2 linked regions of the Ovis aries genome follow. The protein of the gene in region 1 purifies or fractionates together with the protein of each later gene. This does not show direct contact. Links are inferred from orthologs where the notes say so. Each region holds a gene or a part of one and is shown on either strand. Other genes may lie near its edges.

What was found.
Region 2: the proteins of GNG8 (region 1) and GNB5 purify together in Homo sapiens (co-immunoprecipitation; 3 studies listed by BioGRID and IntAct, with this or other methods). This does not show direct contact. The link is inferred for Ovis aries from reciprocal best matches to the Homo sapiens genes GNG8 and GNB5.

The regions. Positions count from the first base shown.
Region 1 is NC_056067.1:53,538,704-53,547,836, forward strand, and holds GNG8 (guanine nucleotide-binding protein G(I)/G(S)/G(O) subunit gamma-8), read right to left. Parts: upstream 5,504-9,133; 5' UTR 5,431-5,503; intron 3,297-5,430; exon of another isoform or gene 2,363-3,296; 5' UTR 2,068-2,362; coding exon 1,984-2,067; intron 1,541-1,983; coding exon 1,412-1,540; 3' UTR 1,294-1,411; downstream 1-1,293. UniProt on the Homo sapiens protein: Guanine nucleotide-binding proteins (G proteins) are involved as a modulator or transducer in various transmembrane signaling systems.
Region 2 is NC_056060.1:56,349,650-56,358,011, reverse strand, and holds part of GNB5 (guanine nucleotide-binding protein subunit beta-5), read right to left. Parts: intron 7,421-8,362; coding exon 7,288-7,420; intron 4,079-7,287; coding exon 3,935-4,078; intron 2,135-3,934; coding exon 2,043-2,134; intron 1-2,042. UniProt on the Homo sapiens protein: Enhances GTPase-activating protein (GAP) activity of regulator of G protein signaling (RGS) proteins, such as RGS7 and RGS9, hence involved in the termination of the signaling initiated by the G protein coupled receptors (GPCRs) by accelerating the GTP hydrolysis on the G-alpha subunits, thereby promoting their inactivation.

The sequences.
Region 1 (9,133 bases):
GGCTCTGTGGTAAATAGTGTCTGATCCCCAGTGTCCCTCACTGGGAGACAATAGTGTGTGGTGGGGATTTTGGCAAACTGGAAAGCCAGGGCCCCATATCATAGCCTCTGGTCACCCTGGAGATTGTGCAGTTCTAAGGTCACCCAGACCTTCCAAATGGAAGAAGCCATCAAGGTGGGCATTTATGTGAAGTACTCTCATTTAACTGCCGGCATGTAGGTCCTAAAAGGGCTTCCCTGGTGGCTCAGTGGTAATGAATTTGCCTGCAATGAAGGAGACATGGGTTCATTCCCTAGGTGGGGAAGATTCCCTGGAGAAGGAAGTGGCTACCCACTCCAGTATTCTTGCCTGGAATATCACATGGACAGAGGAGCCTGGTGGGCCACAGTCCATGGGGTCCCAAAAAGTCAGACACAACTTAGCAGCTAAACAGCAAATACAGGTCCTGGAAATCACCAGTGTATGAAGTGGGAAACACAGAAGAGGAATCAGGGCTGTCACCGTAATCCATGTCCTCAGAAAAAAGGAAATAGAAAAGAATGTACGTACTGATTTGTCTCCTGTAGCCTCACTTCTCTCTTCTCTACCCCATGTTTAATTCCCACCCTGTACCAGCTCAGATGTCCCCTCCTCCAGGAAGCCCTCCCTGACCTTCAAGCTGAGTCAGGCCTTCCCTCTGAATTCCCCCATCCCAGCTCTGCCCACTCTGAATCATCACTATCCCAGGACAGCTCTATCACTCCCACTGGATTCTGAACCCCAGGAACCCGGGGCCAGGGCTGTCTTGGTAGTGTCCATGACCCCTGTTTCAACTATTACAGGTCCAGGAGTGTTTGGAAGAATGAATAAAGGAACAGGGACAAGTTCAGTGCTTGTGGGGGTGGGGCTGTGGTAGGGAGTAGGCCCATGTGTAAAAAGGGGTTGTAATCATTCAGGGGACGAAAAAGGTGGGTACTGGGTATTCTAAAGACCTCCAGCCCAGGAGAGAGGCAAGAAGAGCCGCCAGCCGAGAGGTTCAGGGAGCAGGAGCGTCCAGTCTTCACCCCATTATCTCTTAGCTTGTGACTCTGAGTAAGGGACCTCCTTTGGCTCAGTTTCCTCATATACGTAGCCAATTGCTTTCTGGGGCTGTTGGGATGATTAAATCAATTCAGGATCGCGGGAACACTCCGTGGAGGCCAGAGCCAGGAAGTAGGATGTCCTCTGATAATCCCCCTGCCCTGCATCCACATAACCTCGCCCCACACCCCCACACTCCACACACACGAAGAAGGAATGAGAAGGGACACGGGCTCCTCCATGGTGGCCCCAGGTTCTGCATGTGCCTCAGTTTCCCCGAGAGCACAGGCACCCCCGCAGTCACCACGTTTATTGGATTCATATTTTGACGGGGTAGGGGGGTCGGGAGGGCTCAGAGCAGGACGCAGAAGAGGCGCTTGTCTCGGAAGGGGTTCTCTGCGGCGGGTACCGGCGTCACCAGCGGGTCATCTTTGGCGTGAGTCTCGCAGAAGGCCAGGAGCTCGGCCGCTGCCTGCGACACCTGCGGGCACCCAGGGGAAGATGTCCACGCCCACCCCCGCCCCGCCCCGCCCCGCCCCGCCCCGCCCCCCCCCGCCCCGCCCCGCACCGCCCGCCCCGCCCCGCCCCGCCCGCCCCGCCCCGCCCCGCCCCACCCGCCCCCGCCCCGCCCCTGCCTGGGCCACGCCCCCTGCCTGGGCCCTTCCTCTAGTCAGGCCCGCCCCCGTCAGGCTCCGCCCCCGTGTCCAGGCCTCTCCTATTGCCAGCCCCCGCCCTTAGGCCCCGCCCCCTCTCGGTCCAGCCCCCTTGTCCAGCCGCTCCCCACCCTCCACCCCCTATCCTTGGAGTCCAGTCCCGTTCCGAAGGGGATCTTTCCACCCGGGCTCCCGGCTCCACTCCCAAGTCTGACCAGTCCAGACTCCAGCCCCGGAGCCCGCGGCCTTCCTCCCCAGCCCGACCCAGCACCTTCATGCGGTCGATGTTCACCTCCAGCTTCAGCTGCTCCACGGTCTTCCGGGCCTCCGCGATCTTGGCCATGTTGTTGGACATGGCTGCGGCGGGGAAAGGTTAAAAGCCGGTGGGAGTGGGGGCGAAGGAGTAGGCTAGGGCAAAGGTGGGTCCCCAGATAGGGTTGGCGGTGGCGGTGGAACCCACTAATAGGGGCGTGCGTGGAAGGGCTCACCGATGCGGTGCCCAGAGTGGAGGAAGAGACAGGAAAACAGAAGGAAAGGGGAGCGATGGAGATCTGCGCAGATGGGGGGCCAAGAAGCCGGCCGAAAGGGGGACCTAGGAACAGGGACGAGCAGGCCAAGAGAAGGCTTGGAGGGGTGCACAGATGGGGTACCTAGAGGCAGGTGAAGGAGGGAAGAGAGGGAAGGCAGGAGGGAAGCACAGACGGGAGGCCGAGAGGCAGGGGGAGGGAGGGACAGAGGACAGGGACACAGGTGTTAGATCCAGAGATCCAGGTGTCCTCGCCTCCCGGGGAGAGCGCAAGAGCCAGGAGGGGGCCCTCCCCAGGCCAATTAGCAGGGCCTCCCCGGAGAAGAGGGAATTAAGATCACCGCGGGAGGGGCCAGAGGGGGCCTCATTAGGGCCTTGGCAGCAGCTGCCCCCTCCGCCCCCCTCGGGGAGCCCCCCATCCCAACCCTGGCCACCTCAAAGGCTCCTCTGCTCATTAGCAGCCTTAGAAAGGGCTGGAGAGGGGGGCAACACAGCCAGGACTGGGAGAGGGACAGGGAGGATTGCGACAGAGAGGAGCAGAGAGAGATGGGGAGAGGGAGGGGGAATAAAGAGACTGAGGGAGAGAAAGATGGAGAGACAGGCGGGTGGGACAGAGTGCTGAAGGGAGTGGAGACAGGGAGAGAGGGGTGTGAGGAGAGAGGCAGAGTGCTATGGGAGAGAGAAGCACAGCGCGGACCAAAGCACAGAGGGAGGAAAAAGAAGGGGCGACAGGAGGCTGAGGGAGAGATGGAGTGACGGAGGTGGGCGAGAGTAGACAGAAGGGCAACTAGAGCGCTAGAGGCAGGGGGAGAGAGGGGAGAAAGGCAGGGAACAGAGAGAAAGAAGTGGAGGGGCAGGAGGGGACCCAGAGTGATGAAAAAGGACAGAGGAGGGCACACGGAGAGACAGAGGGAAAGGCAGGCTGAGGGAGATGAGCAAGGATAAAGTCACTCATCCGCTCGCGCATTCACTCGTTCCCAGGCAGAGGGACCAGCTGTCGGGGTTCAGGACCACAGCCTCCTACCTGTTGCTGCTCAGGGCTGGGAAGGCAGGCGGGTGGCAGAGACACAGCGTCTGTACCCACCTCGGTTCTGCCCCGCCCCCTCTCCTGGGGCACAGCCCCTGAGGACCCGCCTCCTCCTGCTACGCCACCAGCATGCCCCTCGCCCTCGAGTCCTGTCTCTCTGGGTCCTCTCATTACATCTGTCCGTCTCTCTTTGTCTTTGTGTGTCCGTCTCTCTCTTCCTTTCTCTCTCTCTCTGTGTCAGTCTCCCTTTTCAATCTCTGTCTCTGTCTCCGTCACACTCACACACACACACACACACACACACACACACACACACTCACAGGAAAAGAGTCTTAGGATGAGCCCCCCCCCAACCCCACTCTGCCGCATTTATCCCACAGTCATCCAGATCTCTCCTGTGCGTTCACACAGCCTCACACTCCATTACATACGCTCGGCCACCCTGTCACACCCACAACCTCCGTGTCACCCCACCCCAAATAATGCCCTCTCAGCACACAGAGTCACACTCACAGTCCCTCGCAGAGATGCCTCACATGATGCTGCGTACAGTCTCCTGAACCACCCTAACCTTTCGCGGCGCCACAGTCATGTCACACGGTCCCTCACGATCTCTCTGAGAGGCCCATCACCACCAGTGACATCTTACACAACCACAGTCAGAGGGACAACCTCTGAGCGTCAGGTGTAGAGACACACACGCGCAGTTCCACACAGGACCACACGCAACCTCTCAAGATGTCTTGCTGAGCCTCACACAGTCTGTATCACACACAGGTGCTGCCCTCATACCGCAGCCGCCTGGTGTCACAGCTCACACCCATGCAGTTTTTCTTGCATGCTCATCTGAGCGCCCTGGACAGTTGCACATTCTCTAATGCACTGCCATGACACTCTGCCAGTCTCTCAGGGCCCCACACGATCTGTGTGACACACAGTCACACCCAGCATCTCACACGTCATCACTGTGACTGACACACCCTTGTCGCACACTCACAAGGTCATTCACACTCAGCTTCCCTCCCCACGTCTCTCACACTGCTTCTCACGCCATTACTTGGTGGGCCATTCTCATTCATTCTTGCCGTCTCTCACACACCCTCTCCCCATGGACACACACAACTCTCCCATCCTCACCATATTGCACACTGTCACACACAACCTCTTGCTCACACATGGTCTCTCAATGTCACAGTCCTCCAAATAGTGTCTCAGGGACCCCCAAACTCATGGTGTCACATGCAGTCACCGATACGTCATCTCGGTCACTCACGTAAACGGTCACACACAATGTCTCGGTGTAACACGATTGGAAGAACTGACTCATTTGAAAAGACCCTGACGCTGGGAAAGATTGAAGGCAGGAGGAGAAGGGGACAACAGAGCGTGAGATGGGTGGATGGCATCACCGACTCAATGGACATGAGTTTGAATAAACTCCGGGAGTTGGCGATGGACAGGGAAGCCTGGCATGCTGCAGTGCATGGGGTCGCAAAGCGTCGGACACGACTGAGCGACTGAACTTTACTGAACTGAACACAGTTTCACAGTCACGCCCAGTTTCTGGTTGTCACAGAAAATCTCACAAGGTCACACAGCTACGCACAACCTCTGGACTTCACGCGCGATCTCAGAGTGGTACACACTCACACAGCGAGTGTCACCCATAGTGTCCTGCCCTGAACACACTCGCGGGCGCTGCACACTCAGCCCGCAGTCGTCTCCTGGCAGCTTCCTGCCGGCCACACGGGGGCGCCCGCGGTCCGCCGAACCGCCCACTCCGCCGGCGCCAAAGCCGTAGGAGGTAGAAACCCGGAGGGCAAAGCGCCCCCGCTGGCAAGCTGGGAATTAGAGGTGGGAGAGACACAGAAAGGTGGAGGGAGCTAGAGAAAGCTCACTGAAGATGGACCGGACACAGAAATTCAGAGAGAGGGAGAGAGAGATGCCGGGAGAGACAGAGGCAGAGATAGGGACACAGAGACGGAAATTTGGAGAGATGGGGACCCAGGGACTAAGAGAGACAGAGACAGGCAGAGGGTTGCAGAGACTGAGACGTGCAGGAGAGACACGCAGGCAGAAAAGTACAGTCAGAAACGGTGACTGAGAAACACGGACACCGAGACACAGACAGAAGAGGGTAGAGACACAGACACGACCGACCGCACCCTCCGCAGGGGACCAGACGGCAGAGGCGGAGTCTGCAGAGGCGCTTCCCAGAGGCAAGACCTCTGGGCCGCCAAAGGGGCGTGGAAGTTCGGGGTGGGGGTAGAAGGGGCGTGTTCGGGGCGTGTCTTTGGGGCGTGTCCTGGGTGTGGTTTGCCGCGAGGGGCGGGTCTTGGGACCAGCTCCCGACCTCGCCTCCCTAGCGGGCTGAGGGAGGGGCGGAGGCCGAGCCCCGGGGAGACGTGGAGGTCGCGGAAAGAAGCCTCTTTACTGCAGTCATTCCATCCCAATTCGGTTTTTACTGCCTGAGCAGGGAAGCAAGACCGGCCGGCAGGGGATACGGGCCTGGGTCCCCAATTTGATAGGGGGATATCGGACCCTGGCTCCCCAACCCCCTATCGCGCGGGAGCAGCAGGGCCAGGTTGCGTGGGGGGAGGGGAACTAGGCTCACATCTGGAAAGCATCAGGCGCGCCGGACGTGCCAGGGCCCCGGGCCCGGCTGCGGAAGAGCGGAGGGGAGTTAGGGCGCCCCCGTCCCCCTCCCTTAGCGGGGTCGGCCGGCGCCGGGGAGGGGCCTGGGTTTACGCCTAACCTCGGCGCCTCCCGCAGCTGGTTTCCATCAGCAGTTTTGGCCCGGGCAGCCCCCGAGGAGGAAACACGGCTCAGAGCGGGGAAAGGCAGGGTGACGACCCAATCTTCCCTCCCTGTCTCTAATGGCAGCCAGAGGCTGGGGGCGGGGAGACGGACAGGCGGACGCTGTCTGAACCAAGAGTAACCTCCATTTCTCTTCCCAGTTGCGGACCTTTCCACTCTACGGATTACCTTGGTTTCCAGATGTGCAACCCTGCCCTGTGCTGCAGAGGAATTCCCCAGCCTCATGACAGTGGTACTCCTGATCCCATTTTCTGGAGGGAGAAACTGAGACCCTGGATTGCAGATTCAATTCTGACTTGAATTATTAAAGAAACGGGCGATGACTGCCAACAGTTGATCTAGCATGGAATACCCAGTCCCTACCGGACATTCCATATGAATGTCTGCCGTATGTCAAACTCAGTTGCCCAAAACTGAGCTCCTGAGTCCACCTGCCAAACCCTCTCCTACCACAGTCTTATTCATGTCAGTTGATGGGTCAATCTTAACCCCCCCTCCCTTTCTCACACCCCACAACTGCTCTGGCAACAAATCCCATTAACTCCATCTTCAAAGTCTGTCCACAATCCAGTCACTTCTCACCTCCTCTGCTGCCCCCACTCTGGTCCAGGCACCATGCCCTGCAGCTTGGGCAATTATAGTCCCTACTCACTGGGTCTCCAGCTTCTATTAATACCTCTGTCTCCCTCAGCCTATTCGGCACAGAGCAGCCAGAGGGACCCTGTTTAAAACAAAGTCCCAAGATAACGGTAGCAAGTGCTAGTGAGAATATGGAGACCGTGAGGATGTAAAACGATGCTGCCATTTTAGAAAATAACTCTGGCAGTTCCTCAAAAGATAACAGAGTTACCAGATGATCCGGCAATTCCTCTATTATGTATCTACCTAGGAGAAACGAAAGAATGTAGTCACACAAACACTTTGTATTTGAATGTTCATAGCAGGATTATTCACAAAAGCCCCAAAGTGGAAACAACCCAAATGTTCATCAACTGATAAATGGATAAACTACATGTGGTCTATTCAAACAGTGGAACATCATTTAGCAATAAAAAGAAATGCAGTACTGACATGTGCTACAACATGGATAAACTTTGAAACATTATGCTAAGTGAAATACACAGTTACAAAAGACTATACATTGCGTGACTCCACATGTATTTCCAGAACAGGCCACTCGAAAAGGACAAAAATAGATCTACAAAAGTGGATCCCCACAGGCTGGGGAGACTGTGGGATAACAGATAAGGGATGCAGAGTTTCTACCTGGAGTGATGGAAATGTTCTGAAATTTACTGTGGTGATAATATAATCACAGGACAACTCTGTGACTATAATAAAAGCCATTGATAAAACCTTGATAAAAGACATTGAAGAAGACAGAAATAAATGAAAAGATATCCTGTGTTCATGGACTGGAAGAATTAATATTATTAAGCTGTCCATACTATCCAAAGCAATTGAGAGATTGAGTGCAATCCCTATCAAAATTCCAATGGCATTTTTCACAGAAATAGACCAAACAATTCTACAATGTGTATGAGATCAGGAAAGACCCTAAATAGCCACAGCAATTTTGAGAAAGAAATACAAAGCTGGAGGCATCGTGTGCCCTAATTTCATACTATATTACAATGCTACGGTAATTAAAACAGTATGGTACTGGCACAAAAACAGACACATGGATCAACAGACTAGAATGGGGAGCCCAGAAATAAACTGACGCATACATGGGCAATTAATTTATAATAAAGGAGCCAAGGATATACAACAGAGAAAAGATAGTCTCTTCAATAAATGGTGTTCTGAAAACTCAACAGCCACATGCAGAAGAATGAAACTGGACCCCTATTTTACACCTTATGCAAAAATTAACTCAAATGAATTAAATACTTGAACCTAAGAACTGAAACCACAAAAGTCCCAGGAGAAAACATAAGCAGTATGTTTTGACATCAGATGTGGAGATTTTATTTTTTGGATTTGACACTAAAAGCAAAAATAAATGTTGGACTATATCAAATTAAGTGTTTTTGCACAGGAAATCATCCACAAAATGAAAGGGCCACTTACTGAATGGGGTACATTGCTAACCATGTACAAGATAAGGGATTAACATTCAGAATACATAAAGAACCAGAATACATAAAGAACTAATATCCAAAATATATAAAGAACTCATACAACTCAAAAGCAAAAAGAAAATCTGATTTAAAAATGGGCAGAAGATCTGAATAGACATTTTTCCAAATAAGACATACACATGGCCAACAGGTACATGAAGAGGCGCTCAACATCACTAAACACCAGGGAAAGGCAAATCAAAGCCACAATGAGATATCACATCTATCAGAAAGGCCATCATCAAAAAGACAAGCAATGACAGGTGTCATTCAAGGATGTCAAGAAAAAGGAACCCTGGGGCACTATTCCTAGGCATGTAAGCTGGTGTAGCCACAATGGACAAACAGTATGGAGTTTCCTCAAACAAACAGAACTACCATATGATCCAGCAATTCCACTTCCGGGTACTTATCTAAAGAAGATGAAAACAGTAATTGAAAAGGATACATTCACCCCTATGTTCATTGCAGCATTTCTTACAATAGCCAAGACTGTGGAAGCAACCTAAGTGTCCACTGATGGGAATGAATAAAGAAAACGTGAATTCAATGGAATATTATTCAGGCATAAAAAAGAGGGAAATCTTGCCATTTGTCACAACACGGATGGACAACAGATGACAGAAGTCAGACAGAAAAAGACAAATGCCACGGGGTCTCATTGACATATGGAATCTAAAACCAAAAAGAAGCTTGTAGACACAGAACAGATTGATGGTTGCCTGAGGGGTCGGGGGATGGGCAAAATGGGTGAAGAGAGTCAAAAGCAAATTTCTAGTTGTAAAACAAGTAAGTCATGGGATATAAAGTACAACATGGTTAGTATAATTAATAATCCTGTATTGCATGTTTGAAAGGTGCTAAGAGAGTCCATCTTAAAAGCTCTCATCACAAGGGGGAAAAAATTTTAAACAAAAACCGCTGAGTC
Region 2 (8,362 bases), on another chromosome or scaffold:
GATGAGGATAAATGAGACAATATGTCTATTTGTATCTGACACTGAACACAGGCAGATGCCTATATCCTTACTTTCCCTTGATCACACGCCCCATTCCAAAGGCTTGGCCAGAGCTCAGGGATAAGACAGTGCTAACAAACACAGACACTGCAATTGGATGAAAGGGGACTACAATGACCACTCACTACAGGGGATACTTTTGGTAAGTGACTTTGACTGGCCCAGCCTCAGTTTCTTCATCTGAAAAGTGAGGAAGATAATGTACATTTCCTAAAGACTGAATAAGACAGTATACACAAAAAACATGGTATGGGGCCAGATAAAATGCATGCAACAAATGATATTATTACTGTTACAGTCCTCCTCTCCTCAATAATCAGGCCATCTGGAGAGAGGGTACTGTAAGTTGAAACCTGATGAACATTAGAAGAGGGTTCTGGGTTGAGGGAACAGTATGGGTGAGAGAATATACAATTTTAAGTTGTTATTTCATGAATATATAGGAATTTATTTTTGTAGCTTTATAGTCTATCCCTGTATCTTAATAACTTCACCTACTGTAGTAATTTCTCAAATTATTTCCTTGGATTTTCTAGGTACTCTCTACACATCTGCAAAAACTGATAGTTTTTTTCCCCTTCCTACATTTAAGGTCAGTGAGCTAGAAAATTCTTATTAACATTTCTACTAATAAAGTAATTATTCTTACTGTGTTCTAGCTTTTAAGGGGAATAATTCTAGTGCTTTCCCCTAAGTAAAATGAAGATTCTTCAGTGGTTATACTTTAAATGTTGTCCTGATGGTGCCATCTTCCAAATGGATATGTTAAGTCCTGACCTCTCTCTTGGAATCCAGTTCAGAGATCTGGCTACCTACTTGACATCTCCACTTGGTCATACAACAGCATCTCAAGCTTGGCTAGCCCAAGACAGAACTCCAGAAGCCATGTGCAACCATTGCCTTCTCCCTGCAGTGCTTCCAACTCTCCCAGTTTTAGCAAATGGATCAGTGTTTATGTCCTTTATAAAAGATTCAGGTTCCCTGAGCTCAGGGTTCTCCTCCTGAAATGCAACCCCTTGCACATGCAGGTGTCATTTAGTCCTTTTCATGTCACCCTGTGATACTGGAGCTTGGATAACTAGCATAGCTACTACCATCACTATTAGTAATCAACTATCCTTCATCTCTAACCCAGGAATCTTGTGCCTTTTACCAGCACCCATGAAACTCTGGCAGCCTTACTTGATGGCCTGCAATTAGGGTAAAATCTCAAATCCTTCCCAATTCTAGACATTTCTATCCTCACTGTGTCTTCTTTGGTTTCAGCCACCATCATTTCTATCTGGAACTCACACAACAGCCTTCTAACTGGCCATAATACTTCCATTCTCATTCCCCTACAATGCATTCTCCATACAGCAGCCAGAGTGATCTTTTAAAGACAAAACATGCATCATGTTAGCCACCTCAAGTGGTCACCTGGTCTTTTGTTAGGTCCCTGAGCATCTCATCTCCCTGATCCTCCTCCCAGCTCTTTGAATGCCTGGGTCCTTCACTATCCTGGTATCAATTTAAACATCAATTTCTCAGAGATGCTTGACCAGTCAAAGAAATAACCTATCTCCATCACAGTTCCCTGTTTTACTTTTCAATGAAACTTATCAGTATTTTTGTACACTGCACATTTATCTGTGCTTTGTCTTGTTTGTCTTCTATAGGAAAGTAGAAATTTTTATCTTGTTTAAAACAGTATTCCCAGTTCCTGGAATAATGTTCAGCAGATAAGTACTTAATAAATATTGGTTGAATGAATGAACAAAAAACACTGACTTCGTTTAGACAGGAAATAGCCATTGCCCCTGGTGCAATTACATTGAAATTCTCCAAGAAATCTGGAGTACTGATCGGTCTCACCACACACCAGCTGTTATTGCTGGAAAAGCCTCTCTCAGCAAAGTAAATTGAGGCTGGAGGCTAAGCATTAGCCCAGGCCGGGAGACAGTGGAAAATAGAGAAGCTATGTGAACATTCTACTCACGGACCGGACACTATTGATGTCAGATTCGTGTGTTTCAAAGGCCTGCACGCACTGTCCAGAGCGCATGTCCCACACCATGGCTTTCTTGTCACATCCCTGCAAACGCAAAGTTGCCCAGAGTTATGACTACTGCAAGGACTGCCCACACACAGGTATGAGTTCTCGTTATATCACAGAGATCGTTCAGTTCCCATTAGTAAACGGCTCTGACAACGTGCTTTTTTTTTTTTCTGAGACTAGCTTTATTTAAGGCCACTTCCCTCTGACCTCAGGAGGTCAGAGCTAGGTCCTGGGGTAGGGGAAGCAAAAGAAAGTACCCAGACACCCTTTTTATAGCACGTTTTCTTCTCTGCCATCTTTCTTAATGGCTGCAAGTTCTCCAGGGCCTCCTTCTCCCCTTCCTCCTAGGCATTTCTCTTCATGTTTCCCCCTCCTCTCTATCTCTGCTTCTATAAGGCCAGAGGGGAGGGCAAGTGGAGAGTGGGGATGGTGGGACCTCCCAGGCTTGCCTCAGGTGTGTGGGGCAGCCTGAACACAGGTGGCCAGCCAGGTGCTTCTGGCCAGCTATAGCCCAGCAGCCTAGTCAGGGGGGTGCCCATAGTCAGCTGGGTGGCTCAGGCAAGTCACTTCCCTGGGTTTCCACCTCAACACCTATAAAATGAACCCTCTCTGGGTAGCTAACATGATCCAGAGAATCAAAAACACCAAGTTTATGCATAGCATCCTGCTTCTAAGAGCATTTTGATAAATTTCTGCAGAGCAGTCTGTGATCAACCATGAGCAGCATAATTAGATTCTCAAAGGACAAACAGAAGGAAAAATGGGTTAAAATTAGATTGCTGGTTTCAACTCAGAGGAAGGGGTGGGTGAGGTACCATACTGATGTTTCAGAAAGACCTGCAATGGGGATTCAACTCTCCAACATCTTTACTGAGAATGTGGACAAAGGAATCAGAGTGTCTTCAAATCTTTGGAGGACCCTAAACCATGAAGTTTAGTACTCTGAAAGAGAGAATACGATCTATAATGATATCAACAATCTGAAAAAACAGTGTAGTTGATTGGAGATGATAAATACAGTTATACAAAGACATGGGAATTAAACTTACATAGATGGGGCCAAATATCCAAGAAAAAAATCAGGGTCCCTGCCAATTAGAGGCTTCACAACCCTCATCTGAGGTCCAGAACTAAGAGGTGGGCAGCTTGGAACAAAGGGCCTTTATGTCTTCCAGTTGCAAGCATCATTAGATGGTGTCTGCATCTCTGTCCCCTCCCACCACTGACTCTTGACAGAGATGAGACAGGACCACGGTCAGATCAGCCAGCTCAGTTCTCCACACTTATTCCCAGATGTCCTAGAAATACTTGTCTCTCTTACTTGCATAAAACACTGGAAACTCTTCCCTCTACTATTCATAATACAGTAGAATATATGGGGAGGTGGGGGGCCAATGCTTTTGTGCCTTCTGCACAATTTACAAAGGATGAAATGTGGAGTCAGGCAGCAAAGGTGGGTCCCAGGTGTCCTAACTCCTCGCTGGTGCTCCTTTGCCATGATGGCCTGCCTGCCCAACTCAGCCTTCAGACACACTGTTCCCTGTGCCTGGGAGCTGGAGGGGCTGGAGGCTGGCAGGGGTGGGCTGGGAGAGTGTCCCACTCGTGCCAAAGCCCTGATCGCACCACAGCTATGCCTCACCGCTGTTTCTGCCTGAGCTGCCTGGTGCCCTGGCTGCTGTCTCTACTGCTCTCGGATGCCGACTCTCTGCTACTCAGCCAAGGAGTCTCAGCCCCGCTCCAGGGGTGTCCCGTTTAGTCCCACAGATTGACAGGAAGTGCCACCCTGAGGCTCCCTGGTGGACAGAGGGCTCCTAGAGATCTTCCTGGGATCTTTACCCCAGACACGAAGGTGTTCCCAGTTTCTGATGGGGCCAGGTCCAGGCAGAGCACGTCGGCCCCATGCCCATGGAAGCTCTGCAGCAACTGCCCGCTCTCCACATCCCACAGGGCACATGTGCCGTCGCCACTCGCCGTCAGGATCTGCCGCCGGAAAGCACAGGAAGGGTGTCATTAGGGCCTCTGGGGAAGCCAAGCAGTCACTTGCAGTTCCACAGGGAAGAGAAGGCTCCACACACACACACACACACACACACACACACACACACACACACCCCTGCTTAATCTGGACTCTAGCACAGAACTCTTTCTCCAGTACCGAGAAAGACAGCCCATTTTTGACACCCTTGCTGTCGTGAGCTGTTTACATACCTGTCCTCTTGCAGAGGATGAAATCTGGAGGCCTTCCTGCAGTACCTGCCTGCCTGACACGTAGGAAGCGCTCTGTGAACACCTGCTGAACAGAACCCCCAGCGGGTCCCACAGGCAGCCAAGCCTACCACTGAGCTTCCCAGACATTAACGTGCGCCCCACACCCAGAGGCTCCCTGGCCCACTGAGTGGTGTGGACACACACGTGCAGGGCCAAGGCCTTTGCTGTGTGCTGACCACGTCCAGGCCCTCCACTAGGTGGCAGGGCTGAAGAAAGACCGTGCCTTGGTCGCTGCTCTCCTGGAGCTCCATTAACAGGCCTGGCAGGAAACCCATTTGACTCCCTGTCACCGTGTTAATCAATTCCAGGGCAAGCCACACTTTCCCAGTGCTGCATTAGACAATACTGAAACCAACTAAAAATAAACTAGCTGCTTGCTCCAGGAAATAACCTGATCCTATGAGATAAGACTCTGAACTAACTAAACAACTTACTTATCAGGACTAATAGCTTTGTAAAAAATTAATGAAACAGAGTGTGCTGTGCTAAGTCACTTTAGTCATGTCTGATTCCTTGTGACTCCAAGGACTATAGCCCACCAGGCTTCTCTTTCCATGGGTTTCTCCAGGCAAGAATACTGGAGTGGGTTGCCATTCCCTTCTCCAGGGAATCTTCCGGACCCAGGGATTGAGCCTAGGTCTTCATTGCAGGCAGATTCTTTATCTTATCATCTGAGACACCAGGAAAGTCCTCAGTCTAGCTCTTTAATGGAAATTTTTCCTGGCATACTCTTTGATCAAAGAAATGAATAGTTTTTAAACGTTAACAGTAAATTCTTAATCTTTAAAATATTTTAAATACTTGTAATCTTCATTATAATGTAAGTAAAAATAAAATTTAAAAATCAAACATTCATAATGATAAATGCACTAAACAGATCCTCTAACTCCACTGTCACTCATTTATTTTAGGATGCAGAGAACCTGCAGGTCTTATACCAGCCTTTTGAGGTTTCCATTTTTCATCCTAGATCCCAGGGCTGGAAGGAGGCTTAGTTCATGAGTTCAGTGGTACCCAAAAAAGGCCATACATCTGAATCACCTGTGAAGCTTTGTGTTAATAATAAAATAATAAAAGCTAGCATTTATTGATATTTACCAAGGTTTATATCAAGTACTTCTGGAGAAGGAAATGGCAACCCACTGCAGTATTCTTGCCTGGGAAATCCTATGGACAGAGGAGCCTGGTGGGCTACAGTTCATGGGGTTTCAAAAGAGTCAGACACAATTTAGCTACTAAGCAACAACACTAAGTACTTTACATGAATCATCTCATTTAACCCTCAGAAAACCTCATGAGGGAGGAATATACTACCATCCTCCCTTGCAAGTGAGAAAAACGAAACACAGAGGATAATAAAACCTTATTTAGAATTGACCAGCTAGAACATCAGACTAAACGTCTTCTGTTGCTTTGGCTGCTCCTCACACCCAAAGACGTGAGGAACGGCCAGGGCCACCGTGCCCCCTCCTGCACAGACCTGCGAGACTCCTGGTGGCAAGGAACAGGGGTAAACACTGCCCTCCCAATCAGAACACTGTCCCCAGACAGCAGCCAAACAATTTCCCATCACCAGGTCTCCCTACCACTACCCTTGCTGGCCCGCCTCCTGACATCACTCAGCTGAAACCAGAACGGGCTTTAGTCGGACTCACACAGTCTCCTCCTTCAAATAAACCCAACCTGCCCCAGCCCCTGCAATGGCCGCCTACCGTCTATAGGGTCCGCTCCACCATGCAGGGCATGTAACCTAGCCCTCCTACCTCTCAGGCTGCCTGCCTCCCACAGCGCTCCCCTCATACCACACTGGCAACACACTGTCCGCCAAGGCAGCCTCTCAAGGCATGTTTATGACCCCCTACTCCTGCTCCAGGCTCCCAGCCTCCCTGCTGTGCAGCCACCACTGGTAGCTGGCCACGTGGGTGGTGGCATCTATGAGGGTTTGCTGGAGAGACGTGACAAAGGCAGTGTAGGATGTTTAGGATTCTGAAAGAAAACGCAGCCTACGTATTACCTCCACTTTGTGGCTTATTCAAAGTAGGGTACAGATTTTCTATATGAAGCCTTCTTTTTTCCCATTTGTTAAAACAGAAGTCTAATATAGGTACAATGAGGTGTGCCAAGTGCACAACTCTGAAAGTCAGCACCCAGTGAAATTCTATACACAGAAGGACCTTGGGACCACTTCTCTGACTCAAGAAAGGAATTTCCACCACCCCAGAAGGTTCCCTGATCCACTCCCACCCCCACCAACTCAATTAGAGGAGGAGGTTTGATATGGCAAGGAATTCATTTCAACTGTACCAACAATCAATAGCCCCGACTTTACCTATTTCTGATTTTATTAAAAACAGTAATGTAACTAGGAGTTCCCTGGTGGGCTAGTGGTTTGGATTCCATACTTTCATCATTGTGGCCTGGGTTCAATCCCTGGTTGGGGAACTGAGATTCAGCAAGCCATGTGGTGTGGCCAAAATTATAATATATATTCTATTTGGCCTTCCTAGGTGGCACTAGTGGTAAAGAACTCGCCTGCCAATGCAGTAGACATGAGACAGGGGTTCAATCCCTGGGTTTAACGATCCCCTGGAGGAGGGCATGGCAACCCACTCTAGCACTCTTGCCTAGAGAATCCCATGGACAGAGGAGCCTGGTGGGATATGATCACAGGGTTGCAAAGAGTCAACTAAAGTGACTTAGCCTTCTATATAAAATTATATATATATATAAATTATAGTACATATAAAACCAGTGAGAAGCAACAGGAGCTTCCTCTTAGGGCCAACTGCTGGAGCATACACATTCTCCCGTAAAGAGGGATACTGGAACAGTTTCCTCACCTGCACCCCCTCTTTAGTTCTCTGAGACCGAACTCGCTCCCCCTGCAGGCTGGCGCATCATCACCCAGGCCCCTGATTTACCTGCATGTCAGAGTTGGTGAAGCTGCAGGCCGATAGGTAGTTGGTGTGCATAGCAACAGACTTCTTTTTGGCAGCCATGTTTTCATTTTTGTCAAATGTCAGTGGATACACAGAACATTTATTATCCAAACCACTAGCAGGGAAAGAAAGAAGTGTCAAATGTTAATACAGGGCAATAGAACATGTGTATACTTTCTCATTCACACATACTTTCAAAATGTTTTCCTTTGGCAGTATTATATGTTGTAACCTATCCCTAAACTTTTACTTTGAATATTTAAAAATGGATAGTAAAACTGAAAGAAAAATAGTACAATGAACTCCCAGATCCCTTCACATGAATTCGCTAACTTAACATTTTGTTGCATTTGTGGGAGCAAATTCTGAACCATTCGAATGCAAGTTGCAGATATGACATACTACATCTAAATACTTCAATCTGCAAATTACATTTCCTAAAAATAAGACCATTCCTTTATAATCACTAACTCATTATCACATCTGAGAAAACTAACAAAAATTCCATAACACCATGTAGTAAGCCATCCATATTCAATTTCCCAAGGATCTCAAGGATCCAGAGCCCAAATAGGTCTACACATTACATTCTGTTTTTATATCTTTTTAAGATCCTTTAATGGAGAAGGAAATGGCAATCCACTCCAGTCTTCTTGCCTGGAGAATCCCAGGGACAGAGGAGCCTGGGGGGCTGCAGTCCATGGGGTTGCAAAGAGTCAGACACGACTAAATGACTAAACAACAACAAGATCTTTTAATGGAGGACAGACACAGCTTTTGACGTTTATAATGAGACTTCATTAGGTCAGTTGTCTTACAGAATGTCACACAGTCTGGATTTGTCGTGTTGGGAATGGCTACCTACTCCAGTATTCTTGCCTGGAGAATTCCATGGACAGAGGAGGCTGGTGCGCTACAGTCCATGGGGTCACAAAGCGCTGGACAGGACAGAGCCACTAACACTTTCACTTTTATTAATGTTACTTTTAAGTATAACATTTTTAGCAATAATATAAATGTGCTATATAAAGGTGATACTGTGTATTTCTTTCTTACT